Linked DNA regions of Alligator mississippiensis. The protein of the gene in region 2 purifies or fractionates together with the protein of the main gene of each other region. This does not show direct contact. Links are inferred from orthologs where the notes say so. Each region holds a gene or a part of one and is shown on either strand. Other genes may lie near its edges.

Evidence for each region.
Region 1: the proteins of DDX5 (region 2) and EP300 purify together in Homo sapiens (affinity purification with western blotting; 5 studies listed by BioGRID and IntAct, with this or other methods). This does not show direct contact. The link is inferred for Alligator mississippiensis from reciprocal best matches to the Homo sapiens genes DDX5 and EP300.
Region 3: the proteins of DDX5 (region 2) and CTNNB1 purify together in Homo sapiens (affinity purification with mass spectrometry; 3 studies listed by BioGRID, with this or other methods). This does not show direct contact. The link is inferred for Alligator mississippiensis from reciprocal best matches to the Homo sapiens genes DDX5 and CTNNB1.

Annotation. Positions count from the first base shown.
Region 1 is NC_081827.1:97,652,367-97,656,109, forward strand, and holds the start of EP300 (histone acetyltransferase p300), read right to left. Parts: upstream 2,699-3,743; 5' UTR 1,293-2,698; coding exon 1,199-1,292; intron 1-1,198. UniProt on the Homo sapiens protein: Functions as a histone acetyltransferase and regulates transcription via chromatin remodeling. Acetylates all four core histones in nucleosomes. Histone acetylation gives an epigenetic tag for transcriptional activation.
Region 2 is NC_081831.1:6,446,566-6,450,308, reverse strand, and holds the start of DDX5 (probable ATP-dependent RNA helicase DDX5), read right to left. Parts: upstream 2,603-3,743; 5' UTR 2,497-2,602; coding exon 2,465-2,496; intron 1,543-2,464; coding exon 1,377-1,542; intron 1,121-1,376; coding exon 1,024-1,120; intron 925-1,023; coding exon 791-924; intron 610-790; coding exon 544-609; intron 110-543; coding exon 1-109. UniProt on the Homo sapiens protein: Involved in the alternative regulation of pre-mRNA splicing; its RNA helicase activity is necessary for increasing tau exon 10 inclusion and occurs in a RBM4-dependent manner. Binds to the tau pre-mRNA in the stem-loop region downstream of exon 10.
Region 3 is NC_081828.1:136,001,505-136,005,247, forward strand, and holds the start of CTNNB1 (catenin beta-1), read right to left. Parts: upstream 2,339-3,743; 5' UTR 2,231-2,338; intron 1-2,230. UniProt on the Homo sapiens protein: Key downstream component of the canonical Wnt signaling pathway.

The DNA.
Region 1 (3,743 bases), on a different chromosome or scaffold from region 2:
AAACCTAAAAGTGAATTTTAAGAAACTTCTGAGAGCAGGTGGCTTGGTCCTTTCATAAAGCAAAATGATCCCCAAAGATCATCTGCTCACCAGAGGTTCATTAAAAAGCAGACACCCCACTGGAAGCTTCAAGAACAGCTCATTCATGTTTGCTGAGGATTGGGACACTTAAAACTTGCATCCTTTAGTGATATTTCTTCTCTGTTGTGACATTTCTACAGAGTAGTCTTCCCCCCCTAAAACACCATCATTAAAAACCCTTGCAAGATTGCAAAGAACACCCTCTTCATCTTCTCTACCTGGTAAATCTAAATGGGAATTTCAGACATTTTGGTCTCAGCAGCAAAGAAATGGGAGATACAGAATGAACTGCGCTCCATATTGATTCTTAATGCAAATAAGGTGAAATAATGCATGTTTGTATGAAGATATAAATGCTCTTGGTGAACCCACATACCCCATAATCTTTATTTTAAATAGAGATTGAGACAGATAAGTTTGGAAATAATCAAAGAAAACAGCAGAATACCTCATCTTTAGAGATCCTTGTGCAAGAGAGAAAAAGTGAAAAGGAACAGTTAAAAAGTCAATAATATAATCAAAGTGAAATGAGGGGGGGAAATTGAGAATGGAAGAGAATTAAACCATTTGCTAAGAAAAATCTGAATGCTATGTAAAAACCTTACATACAAGCCAAAAAAAACAGCCCCTATGGGCTGACCCTGTTTATTTGCATGCGTGCACACACACACAGAAAGACAGTGGAGAGAAATGCAACGAAGATGCTGCATGTGTGTACTATTGCCTATGCCTGCAACTGGAACAGAGATAGAGAATAAAGATCTCTGAAAGAATTACTGCTGCGAAATGAAATGGATGGGGGAAAAAAAAGGGGTAAATTAAGGCTTTTCTGCAAATGGCCAAATGCAGGAGACAACCACCTTACGTTTCTAGCTCTTCCAGTAAATAAAAAGTAACAACAATTATCACCCTCCAGTGATGTTAGCACAGAAGAGATGCAAAGAAAGGGGGTGCAGGGAGGGAATGTAGAGGGAAAGGGAAAGGAAGAGAGTGTAAAGGGGGGGGCGGGCAGGGAAGAAGTAAAACTGAAGGTAAGAGGAAAGGGAGAGAGAAAAAACAGCTCTGGGTATACAGCTGGGGCAGTAAGAGGGTGGGGGCTTGGGCCCCTGAGACTGACCTGTGCCGTCGCTGGCGGACACGGAGAGCGCCGGTGAGGAGAGTTTAGGCCGCTTGGCTGAAGACGGGCCCGGCTCCACCACATTCTCGGCCATTTTTAATTCTTTTTTAGACAAACAGCGCAGGAGGCTGGGGAGGGGGGGAGGGAAGGGGGAACCCCAAGATCGCCCCTTTCTCTCAGGGCCCTGATTCAGCTGAAGAACAACAACACGGAGAGAGAGGCAGGAGGATCTGGAGGAGATGAAAGCAGGGCAAGTTCCCCTTTTTCTGCCCTTCAGGCTCAGTCTCTAGGCGGGTGGCAGCGGAGACGTGGGGCAAATGCAGGCAGCAGGGTGGGGGGGAGAGAAGGGAAGCCTTTCCCCCCAGGCCAAAGGGCAGCTGCGGATGAGAAGAGCAGCTGGGAAAGCCCCGGCCAGCAACAACACTGCCAATTTTTTTTAAAAAAAAGATTAATAACAATAAATCAAATTTAAAAAAAAAAATCAAGCTGCCAGAGGCCGTGTCCGATTAATCCCAGCGGGTGCACTGCTGCTGCTGCTGGTGCTTCTTCACCGCCACCATCATCTTCATCATCCTCCGGGGGGTCTCCTCCTCCTGCTGCTGCCGCTGCCTCTTCACCGCCGCCATCAGCCTCTTCCTCCTCGGCGTCGTCCTCCTCCTCCTCATCGCCACAAGGAGGCGGGCGAAGGAGGGGAGAGAAGGAGGAGGGGGGGAAAAAGAGGAGGAAAGGGAAAAAAAAAAAAAAAAATCACCGTCCTCTAGCAGCGCCTTCCCCCTCCGACGCCGCCCTGCGAAAAAGCCCCGCGGCGGGGCCGGGGAGGGCGGCGCGTGTGCGGGGCGCCCAGCTCCCAGCCGGGCCAGGCACTAATGGCTGCAGCGCGGGGAGGATGAGGAGCGTCCCAGGAGCCTCCGCTTCACATCTTGCTGTGCGGGCGCCGGAGCCGCGGCGGCGCTGGGGGTCCGGCCGGGGCGGCGGCAGGCGTCGCTCGGCGTCTCGGCAGCGCCCCCCCCCGCGCGGGCAGATGGAGCGATCCCCCCGCAGCGGCGGCGGTAGCAGCAGGAGGAGGAGGAGGAAGCAGCCGGCCCCTCCCCCCCTCTGCCTACAGCCCCCCTCTCGAGCGGGCGAGGCCGGGGCTCGGGCGGGCCGGGTTGTCCCCGCGGGGCGCGGGGATGGCGACTCCCGGCCTCCTCCGCCCCTCAGGCGCGGCGCAGCCTCCCTCTCGCCTCCGCCATGGCCGGGGGGTGGGGGGGGCGGCGGGGGGCGGGCGCGGGGCGGGATCCGGGCTGTCCTGCCCGGCTGCCGGCTGCGAGGGGAGGAGGGCGGCTGAGGGGGTCCCGGCGCCTCTCTCTGCGCACTCCCCGCCTCCGTGCGGCTCTGCCCGTGCGGCCGGCGCTGGCCCAGGCTCCGGCTCCCTCCCTCCCTCAGTCGCTCGCACACAAACAAAATGGCGGCTGTTGTTTCTTCGCTCTCCCGAGTCCTCCGAGAGGGAAGCGAGCGGCGGCGGCGGCAGCCGGAAGTGAGCCAAGAGGCGGGGGGGAAGGGGCGGGGCCTGAGGGGTGAGGGGCGGGGCCTGGCGTCGCGGCCGGGCTCGCGCACACAATGGAACGCCGGGGGGTGCGGGGCGGGGGGGTGGTCACGAGGCGCCGACAGCCACTCAGCGCGCGCCGTGCACCGCTCCCTTCCGCAAACTCCCTCCGCCCCGCCCCCCCTTAAAGGGGAAGGAGGAGGAGAGGCCAAAGCCCCTCCTAGCCTCCCTGTGCTCGGCTTTTCTGTTTCTGTCGGCCGAAAAGCGCTGTGGTGCTTGGGGCAGGCCCGTTGTCATGCCGGGGCTGTCAGGCAGGGGGTGGCTGCGCCGCTTGCAGCGGGGCCCCAGAGCCTTGGCACGTAGCAGCCCCCCAGAGCTCCCTTCAGGCTGCGCAGCCCGTTAGTGCGGAGGGGGCGACCTGTACGAGCCAGCAGGGCTGGGCCCGGGCTCCACGCATGGTTCTGCGCACGCAGGGGTGGTCCCAAGCCTGTGGGGGTTTTGGGGTCCGTCTGCACCGCCCCACACACGCTGCGTCGCCCCGTCCTGCTTCCCTGCGGCCTTTGGACGCCAAGCACGGCAGGAGCGGCCAGGCAGAAAGTGCCCTCGCTCGCTGCTCCGGGAGAGGCAGCTTTGCTTACTTGAGATCTCGTGTGGGCTGAGGTGGTTCGAGCTTGGTGCTAATAACGCCAAGGTCCTGGGTTTGTGCCCTGTACGGACGGACGCTCTACGCACCCTTTCCTTTCCTGCCCAAGTGCAGGGGGGCCGGACCCCGTGATCTGTAAGGTCCCTTCCAGCCCCCAACAACTATGCAACTATCAAGTGGGGGCATCTGATTGCCAAGACCTCCGGGTTTGGGCCTGCACGTAGGACGCCTGCCGATGGATGTGGGCGGATCTGAAGTCCCTGGGATGGAGGATGCTCCCGGTTGTAGCGCCATACATGGTGCTGCGAATGATTGAGTTCTGCCTGCTCAGTCCATGCGGGGTTTGGAACGGCTGAGTTCTGCTCAGCCAATATCAT
Region 2 (3,743 bases):
GAGCACCCCCATAAATACATGTGGACTTCAAACGACATGCTCTACTATACTCAGCAGCTACTTGCTGCACCTGTTGAGCCAGTTCTCGAGTTGGTGCCAGCACCAGACACTGGAAATAATTAGATTAGATTAGCTCTCTGTGCAATGATTACAAAACGTGTTTTATCTTTAAGAGAGAATGAAGATTTAAGGAAGTAATGAAAGATTTTATTTTCCGTTATGGGGAATGTGGCCAAAAAAAAATTCTATCCCAAGTGTTTAATTAAGAGCTAGAGAACTTGCTTTTTAGTAGGGCTCTCACAAAAAATCTTTTAGTTCCCTTGGTTTGGCTACCACTTACCCCATTTTTCAATTTTTCCACCAGTATGGACTCTTACAGCCAATACAAGAGAACATATGATTTAGGAGTGAACTAGCACTCCTGCTCTATTCTCAAAATAAGACATTATTTTGTCCAGAAGAGTATAAACACTCCTCCCTATTCATCTCAATATAAAAACGCAACCTAGAATGAAAGGATATTTCATATCAAGTTATACTCACAATAGGTCCATCTCCACGCTCTAGGAATGGCTGATGATTTATGTGCACTATGGCAGGCAACAGGTACTGTAGAAAAACAAAAGGCAGTTTTTACTCAAACCTGCTCCCCCCCTTATTGTAAAGCCAAAACAAGCTTAACTGCTATTACATAAATTAAAAACTAAGAAATTAAACAATTACACTAAAATGTATTAAAAAACAACCGAAAAAGAAGGAAACAGCAAAAAGAACCCCCCAAAAAACTTACAGACAGCGTTTTCCCCGATCCAGTCTGTGCTACTCCAACCATATCCAGTCCACTCAAGGCAACAGGCCATCCCTGGGCTTGAATAGCAGTTGGTTCAGTAAAATTCTGCCTCTGAATTACCTCCATAACATTTGCTGGGGAAAAAAAAAAGGGGGGGGGGGCATATATTAACTTGATGCTTCTATTTAATGAGCTTTGAATCAAATGCCTTGGCACTAATTGGCTAAACTTACCAGGAAAGTTAGCTTCGTAAAAGTTTATGAGTGGTTTTGGACAAGTATGGCCCTTAACTGTAATTTCTTTGCTTGCTCTGTATTGTTCAACCTCTTGCTGTTAAAAGAAAAGATGTTCAATTATTTTATTTATTTGAATTATTTATTTCGTTTCAATTATTTTAATAAAAAAAAACAAAAAAAAAACCCCATGTTACATTCAAATCCAGCTGCTGCTTGTAGTAACTTGTTTCAAGTCAGTACACTGGAAAGCTATCAGGCTCCAGTGGGTACAACCTTTGCAATATGAAGCCGATTAGGTTTAAAACGGCCAAAAAAAATAATTAAAAAAAAAAAATGGTCACAATACGTACTGCAGTACGCCGAACTACATCAGGATGCTCTTGGTAAAAATTCTTCTCAAATTTGGGCAGTTCATCCAAGTTCCATTTCTTTTTGGTAAGCTTCTCCCCCGGGTTTCCAAATTTCTTCCCGGAGAGGAGGCCGCCTCGACTCCCACCAAACCGAGGGGCTCCAAACCTGAAAGACGCAGACAAGGTTAGGACTGACAGCAAACAAAAGAGCCGTGGCAGGAACGAGCCCCCCCCCCTTATAAACGCGTGCCGGTGCCTACCCCGACCCCCGGGCTCCGCCGGCGGGCGCGCAGGAGACGCGGGCACATCTTTATCGCTGCGCATCCGACTCAAAATGGGAGCCGCGCGCAAGAGGCTCCGCTCCGCTCTCGGAGGCGGGCGAGGTGCCGCCCGGCGAAGCTTTTTGTGTTTCTCCCCCCCCCAGAAAGCCCTTCCTTGCCGACGGATGACGCGAATAAATAAACCGCCGGCTGGACCAGGGCCAAACCCGGCGGCTTTCGTAAGAGCGGGGACACTCCCCTCCTGCGTCAGCCGAGCGGGCAGCGCCGAGCCGCGTCCCTTGGGCGCTGCAGGCAGGGGGGATTTTTATTTTTTTCCTCCCTGGTCCTCCGTGCAAACCACCGGGGGGGGGGGGGGGGGGAATGCGGCGGCCGGCGCGGTGCCTCCGCGGGCGCTTGGGCGAGGGGACAAGGCGGCGCGGTGCCCCCCTCGGCGCCGCTTCCTTTGTCTGGCATTTCTGCCTACGCCACATTTTCCAGCCGCTGCCATTTTAGAGCCGGGCTGGGCGGGGGCGGGGGAGGAGGAGGAGGAGGAGGAACAAAGGCAGCGCAGCCGGCATTTTGATTCCCCTCAGCCGCCGCATGGCGGGGCCGGCCATTAGCATCCGCCCGCCGCACAAAGGCAGCCGGCCCGTGCCCCCCGCCCCGCACCGCGAACCGGGCCCTCCCGCGCCCCGCATCCACCCCCTCATGGCAGCGGCGGGGAGAGGGAAGCGGGCGCCGCGGGGCCCCGACCCCCGCCCGCCGCCGCCATTTCACGCGGGGCAGGAGCCGGTGGCGGGCGCCGGCCGGGCCCCCCCCCGGCCTCACCCTCGGTCCCTGTCGCTGGAGTACCCGGGCATGGCGGCGCTGCTGAAGGAAGCGATTTTGCTGGTTGGCGGCGACGTTAGCAGAGAAGAAATAAGGTCCCGAGGTGTCGGCGGGGGCCAATGAATGGGGAGCGCCCGGCCGGCCGGATGCCGGTTATATAGCCGGCGCCGCGAGGCATGCTGGGAGCCGGCTCGTGACGTCAGCGCAGAACCTGCCCGGCTGTTTTATGTAAGCCGCTGCCGGTGGGCGGGGCCTCCGCTGCCGGTGGGCGGGGCCAACGCCCCATAGGCGCGCGCTCCTGCCCGCTGGCTGGTTGGCTGCGGCGCAGGCGGGCGGAAGTGCCCCGCCCAATCCGGGCGCGGCTCGCGCTGCCCTCACACTGCTCGGCCCGCCGGCCGCGTGCCGAGAACCCCAGGCGGCTTCTCGCCCTTCCCCTTCCGCGCCTGCGCGGCTGAGCGCGCCTGCGCAGTGCTGATTTTCTATATGCAACAATTTCCCCCCCACCTTTCGCAATTGCACCCTCTCCCTGGGTGGCTGCGGCGCGCCCTCCCCGCGCCCGGCGTTTTCATCGCCCCCGTTCGCAGACAAGGAACCGCAGCCGGCCCAGCCCCCGGGGATGAAACTAGCCTTCCCTGGGAAAGGACCTGCGCAAGTGCAGGGTGGCTGGACCCGACGCTCTGTGCAAGACTTTGGAAATAGCTGAAGCCCCTGGTGGGGGTGGAGGATGTTTCCCAGCGCAGGGCCGCTTACGGTTCTGGACTGACTCACGGATTTGGACTTCATGTGGCTGGGAACATGAAAAATTTCATTAAAAAAAAAAGTAAATCTGTAACATCTAGGAACCCCCGCAGTGCTGGGCAGCCGGGCTCCTGCGACTCTGCGGGGCAGAGGCATTTGTAGAAAGTGTTAATGTTACAAGACAACGGGTGCCCCCTGCCCCTCTCCGGGCCCTTGTGCCCTGCGCACTCTCTGCTGCGAGGCGGCAGCCCCCACTGCCAACTTGCCACAGCAGAACAGCCAAGGCAGCGTGTCCTGCCCATTAAACCACCCTGGGCGCATCTACGTGTGCACATTTACTGCGCAGTATGGGCACGCGTCTACACGTGCATGCTTGTACTGCACAGTAAATATGGCTACTTACGCCATCATGAGCCTAAATTTGCTACCTGCATCATGCTGGTATCAAATTTATTATGCCTGATGTGTTACTGCGTAGTAACACTGTGGATTGATTTGGGTCTAACTTTCGTCCCAAGTCACTCCACACAGCATTAATGTG
Region 3 (3,743 bases), on a different chromosome or scaffold from region 2:
CAGGGTGTACCACATGCCTAGAACAAATGCATTTTGTATTAAACAATTCAAGCAAGATTGAGTAAATTTAAGTGCCACTTTTCATTTAATAAAAAAGTAATCCTCGTTCAGCAGAAGCAGGTTTGAGAATTCTGCGATGCCAATTAAAGTCTACACCAACCTGCTCCAACATTAGCTTTATCAGGGAACTGCTTAAGGATTTGATTCAGTGCTACAGAACGAACAACAGACTACTGTACTGTACTACAAATCATGGTGATTTGGTTTTGTACTACAGCCCACACTGCTGCAATAATGCTCCATCTAGTTGATGTCATTAGCCCCATCTTATTCATAGCAGCCCCAAACATTAGGGTTTTAGCTCTGAGCCTCTGTGGCATACAACCTACGGTACTGAGGTGGGGGGGGGGGGGGAAGGGGGGTGTTGGGGTTTTTTTTGTGTTTACTTTAAAAAAAAAAAAACTTAACATAAAAAGAACTGGAGAAAAGAGCATCTCATCATGGAGCCTGCATTCATCAAAATGATAATGAACTTAACATCTGCTCACACTATACTATATTAAGCAAGTTTGGTATATTATGCTGACAGTTATCCAAGTAATTATTTCCATCAGCTATGAAAGCCAGACTATATTAATGCTATAAATTAAGTTAATTTTTAAGGGTTGTCACCTTGTTGGTCTCAGGACATCTGCAGACAAGGTTCTTCAAGTAGATGCGAGATCTTTTATTAGACCAACTGAATAGTTGAAAAAAAATTGTTCTTTGCAAGTTTTCAGACATAAGCACCCTTTTTCAGGCATAGGGGGAGTCTCCCCCTATGCCTGAAGAAGGGTGTTTGTGCCCAAAAGATTACATTTTTAAAGGGTTCAGAGAGTGACAGTCTAGCCAACATACCCCCAGAAACAAAGAGCAGGGCGAAAAACCTCACTATATCAATCATAACTAGTAACTCCCTATATTTAACAGCTCGCTGATAGAGAATTAACTTTGTTGTTTTAAATACAAGTCTGAGAACATGGGGGGGGGGAGAAGGCATCTTAGGTTGCAAGCTACATTACTGAAGACCTTTCAATGTCAAAGCAGCAACAAAATCCAAGCAATTTAGAGGCATAGCAAAGGGGGGGGGGGTGTTTTAAGGCACTGTAATTAGACAGACTAAGTTTCAGACACATTGAGCCCACACCTCACCATCCTTTACTACTACAATAATTTTGCTCAGTAGAAACACACGCTTCCCTGAACTAGTGGGTTTGTACAAGTCTGCAGCACAGTTCAATGCAGCCTGGTTTTGAACCTACTTCACTGCAGCTCAACTGCCATACAGATTTTTCTAGTCACATGCCAATACACACACCATTTCCCCCCCTCCCAACTAGACCATCAGGGAGCCAATTAAGTCTGGTTTCTCTTACCAAAGTTTGTTTTACAGAACCTTGATCAAGCAAAAAACCTGCTCAAGGGCAGAGGAAGCTTAAAATAATGAGGAGTGAGGTCATATTCTTCATGTGCTGTTCACAACAGGCAGTTTAATGATGTTTCTAACAAAAAAGTTTTGTTGTGGCCGCCTGTGCTGTCACCACCGTCCTGCTGTTCCCAACCCGAACTATTGTGAACTGCTTCCAAACGCACAACAACTTCAGTTACAGACGCGCCGCCGGTCCCCTGCAGCCTCCCGTCCAGCTCCACACACTGTCTGCAGGGTTTGTTGCCGAAGCGGAGAACAGACCGCCCCACTCGGCTTCTCCACCACACAAAAGTCCGGGGAGCCCCAAGTTGGCTGCAAAGCGGAGCGGGCTCCCGGCACTGCTTCCTCTCTCCCTCTCCTTCCCGCCCCCTCGCCCCGGGGGCCACGGCTTGGGATCCAGGCGGCCCATTCCGGGCGCTGCAGCCCGGCCCCAGCCCCTCCCCTGACTGAGGAGTACTTTCTCAAAACAAACCCGCTTTCCCCAGCGCCCTGCCCTGCCCGCCGGCCGCAGCCCTGCCGGGAGCCCGGCTCGGGTTACAGCGGGGTCAGCGCAGAACAAAGGGCGAGGGAGGCCCCGACCCGGCCCCTTCCCGCGCCCGCCCGGGACCGCACCGGCCCTTTGTACCGAGGGGCGGCGTCCACCCGGGCCCGCGGGCCCCAAAACGGCCGGGACGGAGCTGCTGTCCCCCGCGGGCTCCGCCGCCCCGGTCCGCCTCGCCACAGACGCAGCCCCCCAATCCCGCTCGGGAGCGCGGCACTAACGCTGCAAGCGTGGGGTTCCTCGGCCTCCGGCTGCCGCCGCCGCTCGGGCGATCCCGGCTCCTCTGCTCCCTCCTCCGCCGCCGCCGCCACCGACCTGAGCGAGAAGCTTAAAATGGCGCCGCGCACAAGGCGGCTCTTATAGTGCGCGGATGTATCCATCCGCCGCGCGCAGCGCTCTACAGCCTGGGCGGGGCGCCAGGAAGTAGTGCCCGGCTCTTGACGCGGAGGGACACGGCGGCGCCTCGCGTGGGCCGTGGAGGGGGGGCGGTAGCTGCGGAGGGCGGTGGCAAGCGTGGGGTGGAGGCGGGGCAGGGATCCAGCCCCGAGGGGCGGAGTGATACCTCCGGGCCGGGCCGGGGGCTCAGCCGGTTAGAGGCGGCCTCTCTTAAAGGAGCCGGGCCGACTCTGACAGAGCCCGTCGCGGGGTGGAGGAGCCGTAGGGACACGCCCTGAGGTGCGGGACCCGTCCTGGGAAGCACCCCCAGCCCTTTTCGGCTGCGCGGCTTCACCCTCACACCAGCGGCCGGCACGCGGCCCGCGGCCCGCTTCCTCCCGCGGACACGGCCCCGCCGTGCGAGGCGGAGCTCCGGTCCGGACAGCTCCCTCTGGCGCACAGGCCCGGCCCGGCGGGGCTCCTGGGTAGCGGAGGTCACGTAGGCTGGCAGGGCCGAGGGGCCGGGCGCGGGACAGGGGGCAACGACGGAGGCGCCTCCTTGGCGGCTGAGCCTCTCGTCCTTCTCCCCCTCTCCCGGGGCTTGGGCCCGTGTCCTTGCAGCCCCGCAAGCGCCTGGGCCCGGCGAGGGGCAGGTCAGGGCTGGGGGTTTCGCCCTCTGCCCTGGCTGCTGACCCGCCCCAGCCCAGGCAGCTGCAGGGGGCAAAGCCACGCTCCCTTCTGGACCTGCAAGCCCTTCTGAAATGCAGCCCGTGCTGCAAGCTCCTGGCACAGTAGGCACCAGGATTTTCCCCTGCTTTAAGTGTCCAGTTGCTTAGGACTCAGAGCTGGTGGCAGAGATGATATCTTTCATTAGACCTACTAGATATTTGCAAAAAACAAAAGATTTGCAAGCTTTTGGGCACACTTGCCCTTCCTCAGGCATAGGAGAGTGCAAAGATTGTAAAATTTCTTTTAAGTGAAGATGAGAACTCGCATTTCACAGGAGAGCTGGAGGTGTAAGATCGAGTGTTTTGGCTGAGACAAGAGCTTGGTTCTTTGTCCAGCTCTTTTCCCCCTTCCTGCTTGGGGGCCATCCCGGGTGCCTCGGTTTCACTCTGTGAAATGGGGATAATGCTGCTGACTGACCCACTTTTCACCCCCCGGGATCAAAGATGCGATCCAAGTTCAAAGTGTGGCTGCTGTAGGGTGTTATTGCCAAATTTATGATAAGCGCTTCCATTAGGTATTTGATAACAACAGGAGAATCAGTCAAACACTCTTGATGCATCGCATGGTCCCAGATACCTTTAAGAGCCTCTTTGTGTGCCATCCCACCCCCTGAGGTCCGGGAGGATGGGG